2 linked regions of the Danio rerio genome follow. The protein of the gene in region 2 interacts with the protein of the main gene of each other region in a pairwise test. Links are inferred from orthologs where the notes say so. Each region holds a gene or a part of one and is shown on either strand. Other genes may lie near its edges.

Region 1 (6,839 bases), on a different chromosome or scaffold from region 2:
TATATTCAGAACATGCAAACTCCACACAGAAATGCCAACTGACCCAGCCAAGGTTCTAACCAGTGACCTTCTTGCTATTGTGTTTTAACTTTGAGGCTTTAAAACATCACAACTCTTTACATGCTTTTTAAAGAAACAAGTAATTAAAACCTACCTGTATTTAAAATGAAGTTCACAAGTATGCATTAAATAAAAACGAACAACATTTCATTAATCAGTTTACCCACCTGTTCACATAATCCTTCTCTACAGAGGGGAATAACTGAAATGGTGGTGCACACGGCAGCTCATCACACAGCTGATACTGCATTATTGTTTGCTAAAGAAGAATAAAAAAAATCACAAACGGTCCATGCGGGAATTATTCTAAAGAACATTAGTCTGTGTTTCAAAAATGTACCTCTCCTTGGCTTGGACAGACTTTTAATATTCGGAAAGTATCAAATTCATCCAGTTTTACTGCCTGATGAAATCTGCACTCATCCACACGTACAGCTGAACTATAGCCTAAAGAAACAGATTTAAACAGTTGTAATTAAAGATACACAGCCTCTAGAGATGTGTATGCAAATATTATATTGACCAGTTTTGCATATTCAACCTTTCAGCTGCGACTTTCCAATATTGAGCTCTTCATTCAGTCCAATCCGCATCTCTACAAGAGTGATACACAATCATAGAAGTGAAGATCCGTTTACAATCTGCATTGGCATGGACCGCAATATGAAATCTAGACTTTACTAGAACTTCTATGTCAAGCGGCTTTAACAAAATCTACATTGTAAAATCGCTATATATATTAACTTGAATTGAATCTGTAGCAAACTCACCTGAACAGGTTGGAAGAAAGCATTTTATCCTAATCTCTCCCTGAATATCTGATTTCATTAAAACTCCCTGAAAAGAAGAAAAACGTGTGAAAAATCTAAATGATCAGTAGTTTAATGTCAAGCCATGATTCATTGAGCTTTACTTACATTGGAGCCAATAACCACAGACAGCCTCTCTATCACATCCACAAAGATCTCATTCTTTCCCCCCTGCAGCCAGAAAGACAAACGTAGGTACATTTTTATGCTATGCTAATATTGATTAGCATGTTGTTATTGTTTTAAATGGCAAAAACGTGAATTAGTATTTTGTAATACTGTGCTAACATTCATTAACATGCTAGAAAGCATGACTAGCATGTATTAGTATGGCGCTAACATGAATTAGCATGTTTACACTGTACTAGCTTTAACTGATATGTTGCTAGCAGGTTTCCAACACATGGCTAACATGTTTTAACATGGAGCTAGCATGAATTTTTTAACAAGTTTAACATGGTGATGATAGCACACATTAGTATGTTTTTACACTACATTAGTACTAATTTATGTTAATGGAATGTTTCCATCATGTTTAACACATGGCCAACATTTTAACATGGAGCTAGCATGCATTAGTATGTTTTTACACTATACCCGCATTAATTAATATGTTGTTAGAATGTTTACAACATGTATAACACATGGCTAACATGCAGCTAGCATGAATTTGTATGTTTTACACTATACCCCCATTAGTTAATATGTTGTTAGCATGTTTCCAGCATGTTTAACACATGGCTAACATGTTTTAACAAGGTGCTATTATGAATTAGTATGTTTTACACTGTGCTAGCATTGCTTAATATGTTGCTTTTGTTTCCACACTATTTAATACATGGCTAACATATTTTAACATGCTGCCCCTGCTAAAAAATCCAGCTTAAACCAGCCTAGACTGGTTGGCAGGTTTTAGCTGGTTGACCAGCCTGGTTTTAGAGGGGTTTTGGCAATTTCCAAGCTGATTTACAGCCATTTCCAGTCTGGTCTTAGTTGGTCAGGCTGGAAAATGACCAACCAATCCAGCTAAAACCAGCTTGACCAGCCTGGTTTAAGCTGGACGTAGCTGTTTTTTTCTGGACTCCCAGTTTAGATTGGCTGGTCAAGCTGGTTTTAGCTGGTCATCTCCCAGCCTGACCAGCTAAGACCAGGCTGTAAATGGATGGAAACCAGCCTGGAAGTGGCCAAAACCCCTCTATAAAACCAGGCTGGTCAGACCAGCTAAAACTAGCCAACCATTTTTCAAATCACAAAAATGTGAATTAGCATTTTGTAATACTGTGCTACCAACTTTCATTAAAATTAAAATGTTGTTAGAACGTTTACAGCATGTTTAACACATGTTTGACATGTTTTAACATGGTGCTAGCATAAATTGGTATGTTTTTACACTATACTAGCATTACTTAATAAACTAACAGAAAGTTTCCAGCATGTTTAACACATGAATTATGTGTTTAAATATGGTACTATCATGGATTAGTGTGCTGATACTACCATGTTTCCAGACTATTTATATGGCTAATGTATTTTAACATGCTGCGACTATGAATTAGTCTTATTAACACTATTTGACCTACCTATGTTTTGACACAAAATAACATCCTGCATGCATATTTATATCATATTTTAGAACAGTCGTGTTTATGATTCATAATAATATTTTATGATCATCACAGATTAGATGTAAAACTGAAGAAACTAGGAAAACTCACCTGCTCTCCTCGACTGGACATTATAGGACGACTGGCTGCAACACTTGGAGCCACTTTACTCTGCTGTGTCTCAGCCCCAAACTACAAAATAAGAAAAAAAGTTAATATTTGTACTTTTCAAGATAAAAAAAACAAACAATAGTGTTTTATGTTTTTTTTTATTAGTCAGTTCTTAAAAGCAAATTACTTTCAAGATTTACCTGAATCGCATTACACAGTTTTTTGAAATATTGAGTAAACAGACGCAAAATATTCAAAAGAAATGCAACAATTTACCAATCCAACATTACTGAGGTCAAAGAGACTGAAGGGTTTGGATGAAACAGCTTCTGTCTGGATGAAGTTTTTCAGTATGTCAGTTGAGGTTGTCTGTACGTAGCCAAAATCCTGTTGATCAGAAACACAGAGGAAATTATACATAGAATTGGGTTGCTTCTAAGTCTAATTCATTTGGTCTGAGAAAAATAAATATGCAAACAGAGAGAACATTTACCACCATCTCATCCAGCAGCTCATAAATTAGTGCGAAATTCATCCTCACTGATTTTTCTGACAAACTGCCACAGTAGTCCTTTGTAAGAGCTGCTAATCTGGGAGACACAAAACAGTCACTTATCATCATGCAATCTGCACACCTAAAGAAAATCATATTATCACATTACTGATCCAAAAATTATATTTGTTAACCTGTTAAGGAACTCAATTATGGTGAAAGGGGAAGGGTTTGTTTTGGTTGATGCCACCCAGTACAGTCCACCCTGCCTTACATGGATAAAATGAAGATCTTTGTGTGTCTACAGCAAGATAAACAGTCAGTGTTAGTTCATGTAATACACTAAACAATCACAATGTTGTTGTGTATATCAAAAAAACATAACTGTAGCCTACCATGACAACAGGAGGCTGATCTCCACTGAGAGCTGTGACCATCTCATAGAAGACATTTATTGAGTCTTTACTGGCCTCTCCTCGGACTGATATGCAGAATTAAGAAAATCATAAGCAGGAAGCATACATTTAATGTCATATGACCACTGATCTAATAGAGATAGCTCTGATTACATGAAGATCCGTGCATATAAACACAAGATTCGATATCAGACAGTTATAAACACATCACATCACACAAGCCCGTGGGAAGGATACAGTCTTTATATATGAGATGATCTCCTTTTGATGACAAGATGAAAATTTGACTGATCATTTTCTCCAGCACACGGGATTACCTTTATTAAAAGGATGTTTGTTAAAAATCACCCCGCTCTTCTTCTGCCGTCACTTACATTCAGAAATATGTCTAAACAAATGTCCTCATTCATTCATTTCTTCAACAAGTTTCCTCATTCACTGTTATTTGAATTCTTAAAGGGACAAAATAAACCCGTTTAGGTCTCAAATAGTGCAGGACTATGCCGTCATGACTGTAAACAGCCGGGTTTTTCTTCTTCGTGAGGTCATACGTGAGTTAACAGTACCGCTTACTGCCATCTATTGAGCTGGAATAAGAGCTGCTTCTTGGCATCATGAACATGAGCGAAGCAAACTTGTATCTTTATTACTCTGCATTTATGTACGTTTTTATTCAAGAGAGGAAGTAACAGGATGGCAGACGGCGCGAAATAGATGGATGAAGCCGTTTGTGAGGTAAAAACATGTCGAACACGCTGGTATCTTAAACGACTTAACGTACGAAAATAAACCACCCAAGCGAAAACGACGGTTATCGTAGTTAAACCATGTTAAACACAAGTTTTGCTGGACTAAAATACCATATTTGCAGCTGTGTTATAAATAAACAATACACCAAAACATGGTTAACTTCTACTGTAATAAAACCATGGTAATTTTTCGTATGAGACGTGTTTCTCGGTAACGTTTTTTTGTAGGAAACACACTTTAGATCTTTTTAGGGTAAGAGTTTTTTGAGTTATTGCCGATTATCACCGAATCTGTCAGGAATATCGAAAACAAAACCAACTTAACCGCGGTGTTAAATTAAACGTCTTAAAGTCGTGGCCAGTCTATTGAAATAGGTGGCTCTTTTTTTTCAAAAAAGTAGACCTTTTTGCAGTAAATCACCTAATTTTCCATTCAGTCATGGGGTATGGATGTGACATTTTCAGTATAAACATAAAACATAAATACGTAGGGAATGTCCAAGATCAATGAACATTATGCAGTTAGATCTACCTTTTACTCCTTTGATTTTCTTGCTTGATGTAAGACCCCAGGATATATACTATAAAAACCAGAGATATTTACTACATATATTTTTACCAACTGCAAGAAAGACTATGACAATAAATTGGATGAAGCCACATCCTCCAACAATAGCACAGTGGACAGAAAATCTTAAATCCATATATAGAATGGAATATATGACTGCCTAACTTAAATTGAACTAAATGTTTTAAATTGAACTAAATGTTTTAAATTGAACTAAAAGTTTTCTTCTGTAAAATGTTTTAATCTATATGAAAAAGTAAAAGTAAAAAAAAAAAAATACAGGTCCATTAGCCACTCTATTGAAAAAGGTGGTTCTTTTCTCTAAAAAAAGTGAACAATTTTGCAGTTAATCACCTCATTTTCTATTCAGTTGTAAGGTTTACATAATGTTACATTTTAGTGACAGATTAGCTTGTCAGATCCTAACCACAGTTTTTGATCTACCAAAAATAGTTCCTAAGCAATTCCAGCGTTATGTATGTGACATTATCAGTAAAAAAACATAAATACACAGATAAACTGTATGTGAACATTATATTGAAACATCTGTTTTTATTTTTCAAAGAACTAACCACAGATTTATGGGATCAGAAAAAATATCAGTCTGTAAACGTTTTTTGTATTTTAAATAGGGAAAATAAACATGCGTTATGGATGTGACCAAAAACTTTACAGAATACAACATACATTTTAGTGAACTAATAACCTACTAATTCTGTGAATTAAACTGCACAACCTAAAATAAATAAAGCTAATTAAAACCATGGGTTGGCTTGATAGAAGACAAATGATTGATTTTATTTAACTTTACATATTTTGGATTTATGAGGAATAAGCTTTTTTTTTTCTTTATGGATCCGATGCTTCTCCATTATGGATGTAACAGGTGTGATATTGCCACTTGTGTGACTTTGGCCAATTAAATATTGTTTGAAAGCATTGACAGAAACATTTTGAGTATTTTTACACTAATGTTAAATACAAGCCTACACAAAAAAAAATCTAGAAAGTGTTTCGCTATTGTGGTGAAAATGTTTTTTTTTTTCTTGACATGATTGACATTTGCATGGAATTGCTCTCCTACAATTTTATTAAAGTGCCTACCATACTATTTTACTACAAAGTATTTATTTGCAACTGTGCATTTAAACCAAGTACAGTTACAGTTTTATAAATAGTGTTATGAGATTAAAATTTTAAATGAAACATTTGATAATGAAATATGAAAAAATACTTTCTTAAAGTATAACATTATTACCATTCATTATTTAAAAATATTAGGAATCTGATAAAACTTGTTTTAAGTTAAAAAACTGTTGCCTGTAGGCAGATGACAAACTGGCCAGCTAATTCAACTTTCCTCAGTCAAAACTTGGCCATTTGAATAATTAAAAACTCTTCTTCTTCGAAGTTATTTTCACAATTTATGATGCCATAGCAGTAAAAAAAATGGGATAAATTAGCTCATATAGGGGCCAAATTCTGGACGTTGTCAGTGGGGAGTAGGTCTTTCGAACTACCCAAACCCCCCCTGACTATGGGCCTGAGAACAGTAAGACAGAACTGAATACCCCTTGGCTGCCTAGACAAATCATTTGAGCAGTTGGTCATAATTGAGTTCATATAAGTTGTGTTCACATTTCAACCTTGGTGCACACTAACAAAAGCAGATTAAGATATGGAATAATGGGGCTCTGTCTGCTGATATATGAAAACATTATGAACTGTAAACATCAGAACAAACCATAAACAAGGCATGGTGTCACTAGATGCATACATAAAAAGGACAAAGTTATCTATAAACTGTAAAAGTTAAATATAAACTGTCCATCACTGTTCAACAAAGCTATCCCAAACATGTCTCCTTGCAGCAGAACTTTGTGTGTGTGAGAAGGAGCAATTATAGGGCAGACTCATTTACACTTTTCAGAAGCTCTTTATGAGTTCACAACACAAAACTACCATCACATGTACATATAAAACATCTTTAGCCCAGGACATACTGTATTTCTATGTTTAGGACGTTTCT
Region 2 (6,837 bases):
ATGACAAAATGGGGTACTGAGTAACGTTGTATAAGTATGCATTCATCAAAAGATAAAATGTAAATAATTTTTATACTTTTAAGTGTAATGGATACCAGTTTGCAAAGTGCTGTGCTGGTAAACCTCACTCCTCTGACCACTAAAGGTGCTTTAGTGATGGACGCAAGAGGCCATGGTCTTTAGCCTCCTTAGTAGAGCAACTGATTCCCTTGCGGAAAGTCACTGGTTAAATCCCAGCTCAGAGTGGGTTGGGTGGTGTTACATTGGTGCCTTGACACGGATGGGAGTGAGGTTGAGGGGGTGAGTGTAAAGGAGGCCAGCTAGTGAAGTGCTGTGCAGGTAAACTTAATTCTCTGACCTCTTCAGGTGCTCTAGCGACAGACGCTGAGGCCATTGTCTTTAGCCTCCTTGTTAGAGCAACCGACTCCTTTGCGAAGAGTTGCCAGTTCCATCCCAACTTGGAGCGGGTTTTGATGGCGTAGGACCGGCGGTGTAACATAAGCTTCTAAATACATAAGACCTGAAGAGTCTCTAACAATAATTAAGAATAAATTACTGTGCTAATGTCTAGGGGGCACTCAAGCGTAAGTCTTTTTTGCACAATACTGTGTATATATAACCTATGACAAAGCACAAAAAATCAAATAATTAATTCAAAGCCTAATCTAAAAGTAGCTAACTGTAGTTTCACAACTATCATGCTAAGTCTCACATTACATCACAATATTATTCAGTTTGTTAACTGTAAGTTTACACTTTCAGCTGTTTTATAATGTCCACAGACAGCGAGTGTTGTCGGAAGTGACACAGATTGAAGTAAAGTCTCGCGAAAGTGCGTGGTGGCCATTTTTCCTCCATTGATTGTTTTTGCTTACAGTCCAGCAAGAAAGAAAGTAACTCAAATTAAACCTGTATATGAGCCATTTAGAAAATAAATGGTTTCTCTGCTCAATAAAAAAATATATTGAAAAAGGCTAGAGAGACTGTTGTATTTCATCTAAAAACCACCTTATGACAGTATGAAAAACAAGCAATAGTAACGTACAAAATCGAAAACAAAGAAGAATCAAAAATGTATTTATGCGACACATTTATTATGAAGAATATAAACATTAAATAGAGAAAAATAGGTGAATTAATGATTTGAATTCGACATTATAACACGAAAAAAAAGTATTTGCAATGTTTGCAATGAATTTATAACGTTTAAAAAAACATCATTTTTTGTATCAAATGTGTCCAAAAAATGTAATCACAACCTTTTAACAACGTGAAACCAACATTTTTACAACGTTTTTGTGTGATGGGATGTCGTAATATCTAAAAAACTAGCTAACTGTAGTTAGCCTACATTAAAAAGTTGTTTACGCTAATTAGTAGCTTACTTGATTTTTGGAATCTGATTAGGATGAGAATTTTTGAAAAATAGTTATATTCTTCATTTCACTTTGAGTGTTGAAAAAAGAAGTGAACACGAAAGCACGCAGCACTCACGAAGGAGGCAAAGTTCACTTATAATGAAGATTTTTTTTCGACAGGCTAAAGTGTGACCTCAGATTAAGTTTAGTGTTTCACAACTATGCTAAGTCTCGCATTACATCACATTATTATTTAGTTTGCTAACTGTTAGTTTACACTTTCAGCTGTTTTATAATGTCCACAGACAGCGAGTGTTGTCGGAAGTGACGCAGATTTATGTGAAGTCTTGCGAAAGTGCGTGGCGGCCATTTTTCCTCCATTGATTGCTGTTTTTGCTTACAGTCCAGCAAGAAAGAAAGTAACTCAAATTAAACTGGATTACGAGCCATTTAGACAATAAATGGTTTCTCTGCTCAATAAAAAAATATATTGAAAAAGGCTAGAGAGACTGCTGTATTTCATCTAAAAACCACCTTATGACAGTACGAAAAACAAGTAATAGTAACGTACAAAATCGAAAACAAAGAAGAATAAAGAATGTATTTATGCGACACATTTATTATGAAGAAAATGAACATTAAATAGAGAAAAAAATAGGTGAATTCATGATTTGAATTCGACATTATAACACAAAAAAAGTATTTGCAATGTTGTGAAGTTCGAATTTATAACGTTTAAAAAAACATAATTTGTTGTATCAAATGTGTCCAAAAAATGTTATCACAACCTTTTAACAACATGAAACCAACATTTTTACAATGTTTTTGTGTGATGGGATGTCGTAATATCTAAAAAACTAGCTAACTGTAGTTAGCCTACATTAAAAAGTTGTTTACGCTAATTAGTAGCTTACTTGATTTTTGGAATCTGATTAGGCTGAGCATTTTTGAAAAATAGTTATATTCTTCATTTCACTTTGAGTGTTGTGAAAGAAGTGAACACAATGAAAGCAAGCAGCACTCACGAAGGAGGCAAAGTTCACTTATAATGAAGACATTTATTCGACAGGCTAAAGTGTGACCTCAGATTAAGTTTAGTGTTTCACAACTATCACGCTAAGTCTCGCATTACATCACAATATTATTCAGTTTGTTAACTGTCAGTTTACACTTTCAGCTGTTTTATAACGTCCACAGACAGCGAATGTTGTCGGAAGTGACGCAGATTGAAGTGAAGTCTCGCGAAAGTGCGTGGCGGCCATTTTTCCTCCATTGATTGCTGTTTTTGCTTACAGTCCAGCAAGAAAGAAAGTAACGCAGATTAAGCTGGATTACGAGCCATTTAGCCTAAAAGTAGTCTCCCCGACATCGACTCGTTTCTCCTAACACGCTCAGAATGCTGTCCCAAAGCCAATCGCAGGGCTCCTGTTGTTGACAGCGGACCGCGGCTGGATGATCAGATGGAAATGGTGCCCAGCGAAGAAAAGCAGCTTGTGCCCAAAGAGGTAAGAGATGATCGACCTCAAATAACACACACTCAAATCACACCATCTCCCTATTAAAAAAATCGCAATGTAAGCTAGAGAATCGCGTTTAAACGCAGCGGAGGAGAGACTGAAAAGTGCGTGTCAGGATTGTGAGTTGAGCGGCTAGCAGAGTGTTAGCTGTAGCTCAGCTAACTATCAGTCAACAAGTCCTTACAACAGATTGAATACGTTCATAACCAATATATACCGGAGATTTATGGAATTAGTAGACCTAATAACATGTTGTCATGTGTGCTGTGATGCTGTTTACTCTCTCCTCAGCCCGCAAAGTGTCCTGCAGGAGTGAGTTTTGGGAGGTGCTAAAGTGTGCGCCATAGTTTATGTTAGCAGCTCAGATTAGACTGCTTGATTTAATCCACATCGCATCATTTACATCACAGACATAATTCAGATTAGACTCGTATGCTTTATTTGAGGAATGATGACCCCTGCTTTGATATTTGAATGATGTCAACATCGGCCGAATGTGTTTTTTGTTACTATTGTTATTATAAATGACCAAAACAAACAAACAAAAAATCTTGTACAGTTTCAGTTTCAATGCACATTCTTTTTTAACGCGGATGTGTTTTAGATCTGACGGGAATAGAGTTTATCTTCCTCATCAACACTTGCATAACAAAATAATATTTTTAGTGACATTTGAACTCTCAATTTTCGAGATGCGTACTCTTTTTGGTCTTTATGCTAATGGTGATTTCATTTTTGAATGCTGTAAAACATGTTATATGTGGTAAAGTGTAAATCAATAAAGCAAGATCTTTTAAAAATTCTTAATGACGGTAACATTTGTATTCATGCAAAAAACAACAACAAAACATTGTAGCAACTGGTTGTTTGATTGGCTGATTTAAAACAACAAATAGGTGTAATGTATATACACACACGCAGTCGTATAGTTGAAGTCAGACTTATTATACAGAGCTAACCCCTTTTAATTTATTTTTCTTTTTTAAACATTTTTCAAATAATGTTTAACAGAGCAAGGAAATTTTCACAGTATGTCTGATAATTTTTTTTCTTCTAGAGAAAGTTTTATTTGTTTTATTTCAGCTAGAATAAAAGCAGTTCAAAATTATTAGCCCCGTTAAGTTATATTTTCTTAATGGTCTACAGAACAAAAGATCATTATACAATAACTTGCCTAATTACCCTAACCTGCCTAGTTAACCTAATTAACTTTGTTAAACCTTTAAATGTCACTTTAAGTTGTATAGAAGTGTCTTGAAAAATATCTAGTCAATTATTATTTACTGTGTTCATGGGAAAGATAAAATAAATCAGTTATTAGAAATGAGTTATTAAACTATTATGTTTAGAAATGTGTTGAAGAAATCTCTCCGTTAAACTGAAATTGGGGGAAAATATAAACGGGGGGCTAATAATTCATTGGGGCTAATAATTCTGACTTCAACTGTATATTCATAATCAAAACAATAATAAGACCATATGTATGCAGACATACATGCTATGACATTTACACAGCTTCATACATGAAGTGCACAATACAACATTTTTAGATCTTTCTGTTGCGCATACACTACTGGTCAAAGTTTGGGGTCTTTTTCTTTCATGTTTTTTTTATGAAAATTATTTTGTTTATCAAGGTGGCATTCGTTAAATGTAAAAAGAAACTGTTAAATATTTATTTAAAAATATTTAGATGTTACTTATTGTATGTACTTTTAAATGATATTATTAGTCCTTACATTATTGTTTTTATTACTATTACCATTATTATTATTATTAATAATAATAATAATAATAATAATAATAATAATAATAATAATAATAATAATAATAATACAATATATAATAATAATAATAATAATAATAAAAATAATAATCATAAAAACAACAACAACAACAATTATTATTAGAGTGATTTCTTAAGGATCATGCGACTCTGAAGACTGGAGTAACACTGGAGTGTGTGTGTGTGTGTGTGTGTGAAATTTTGAGAACAGTTTCCATCCAAAGGTGTGAATTAGACACAAAACTGGAATATGGCAGAAAATATTTGAAAGTAAAGAACTGTTTCCATCCATGTAGGCAATGACAATAAAATTGTGTCTTCATGATAAATTTGTTGCCAAATATCAAAAATAAATATTAAAATTGGCTACAGTAGGCAGTAGGGCTGCACAATATTGGAAAAATTAGTCATGACAATTTGGCAATATTTTTTTTTTCTCTGCGATTATATATTTTGTGATACAAATACATTTTCTCAAAGTCACTACTTTAGATTGACTGGGATGATTTTGCAGGGGAGTGAAATATAAATATATTTTTATGTAATTTATTATACACATATAATAAACAATAGAGGTGTGAACCTACACTGGTCTCACGGTTCGGAGAGAATGACAAGCCAGGAGAATAAAAACAAAGGAAGTGACCATTTTTAAATAGACAGCCGAGACATTACATTGTAATAACATATACATATAATAACGAGCCATGGTCGACCAAAGCTTAAACAAACCTCGTCGTCGTCTTGATGAACATCCACAAAACCAAGAAGAACGAAACCTGCTGTGCCTTGTTGTTGTTTTACGAGGCCGACTAATAGCGCGAGTGGTTTCACTTTCTCCAGGGAGCTCAGTTGTGCGTCTATATTTGAAATAACTAACTTATTCAGCAGATGATGATAAAAACGTACGCTTGATTCTTGAAGTGCTTACCATCGGTACCCTTTTGATAGTAGAAACACATGCCTGATAAAGGTGACCCGTACCGTAACACTCAGTGGAAACGGGTCGTTAGAGTGATAGTTCATCCAAAAAATGAAAACTTGCTCACTATTTACTCACCCTCAAGTGGTTTCAAACATTCATGAGCTAATTTATTTCTTAATAAATTTGAACTACCTCTTTAAAATCAAAACTTTACATAATATTCCAAAATGTACATAAAATAGGTGGATGGAAACATAGCTACAGTGATTTAAATGCAAAACCTTTTAAAACCACAATGTAAAATCTTGTTTTTTAGTACATTGTTATAACATAAACATCCTTGTAGTATGAACTTAATTCTTTATCAGTGTTTTTTATTTTATCAAGGGCTGTTTATGTTGTCACTGTTGGTGCTGTGAGTTCACCGGTGAGCGTCAGGGGTTCAGACTAAATTTAGAATGGGATTAATCCGTTCAAATGGGCGACAATATAAAAAGTCATTTTGAATTTAGCCTGAAATAAATGATTGTTTTTGACCCCATTTGATCTTACAAGTTGTTCTGCGGGACTGCTAATGGTAACTGTCTAGTGCCAAGGTGTAAGACCTCCTTTGGTCAATCTGTCTTCTCTGTAAAGGGAGCCAAACAGTGGAATGATTTACCTTTTAGCCTAAAATCAGAAAGTAATATAAATATGTTTAGTAGTGTTCTTAAAAAGTGGTTAAAAACAAAACAGCAGTGCTTGCACAAATAGTGTAATGTTAGTTTGTTGAATCATGTTGCCTTTGCTTTTGCCTTCAGTAATTATATGTAAATATTTATAATGTTGTGTAAATGTATTTATTAGGGATGAAACATTACAGTTAGCCCACGGTTCAATATATACCTTGGTTTTTTAACATGGTGTTTGGTTCGGTTCTCATGGCTTGACACATGTTTTTTTATTTATTCTGTAGGCAATAGGAACAGTAAGAGGTTAAGGAGAGAAAAAAATAAACACGATTTATTGCAATACTTATTTTGTTTAACTTAAAAGCCAAGAAAAGTACACTAGTTCCTAGTGTATTGTATATATAAAAAAAATTAACACTGAAATCTTACTGCTGCTGGTAGCCCATGTACAAACAGGGGAACATACAAAATCCTACATTTTGAAAATAAACATACATGTGAAGTTAATAAAGATAAATTGGCCATTTCAAATAAACATATTTGTACTTAAATAAACATAAATAAACCATCTTAGTTATCT

The links.
Region 1: the proteins of usp47 (region 2) and ap4m1 interact in binary tests that used the Homo sapiens proteins (3 or more experiments, as listed by UniProt). The two-hybrid records come from large-scale screens. The link is inferred for Danio rerio from reciprocal best matches to the Homo sapiens genes USP47 and AP4M1.

Annotation. Positions count from the first base shown.
Region 1 is NC_133185.1:27,749,063-27,755,901, reverse strand, and holds the start of ap4m1 (AP-4 complex subunit mu-1), read right to left. Parts: upstream 4,026-6,839; 5' UTR 3,789-4,025; coding exon 3,731-3,788; intron 3,559-3,730; coding exon 3,473-3,558; intron 3,379-3,472; coding exon 3,272-3,378; intron 3,175-3,271; coding exon 3,078-3,174; intron 2,972-3,077; coding exon 2,861-2,971; intron 2,666-2,860; coding exon 2,585-2,665; intron 1,041-2,584; coding exon 978-1,040; intron 898-977; coding exon 831-897; intron 656-830; coding exon 602-655; intron 508-601; coding exon 401-507; intron 320-400; coding exon 228-319; intron 1-227. Other genes in the region: and3 (actinodin3 precursor), read left to right, coding at 4,208-4,228. UniProt on the Homo sapiens protein: Component of the adaptor protein complex 4 (AP-4). Adaptor protein complexes are vesicle coat components involved both in vesicle formation and cargo selection. They control the vesicular transport of proteins in different trafficking pathways.
Region 2 is NC_133182.1:70,815,266-70,822,102, forward strand, and holds the start of usp47 (ubiquitin carboxyl-terminal hydrolase 47), read left to right. Parts: upstream 1-2,619; 5' UTR 2,620-2,818; coding exon 2,819-2,863; intron 2,864-6,837. UniProt on the Homo sapiens protein: Ubiquitin-specific protease that specifically deubiquitinates monoubiquitinated DNA polymerase beta (POLB), stabilizing POLB thereby playing a role in base-excision repair (BER). Acts as a regulator of cell growth and genome integrity.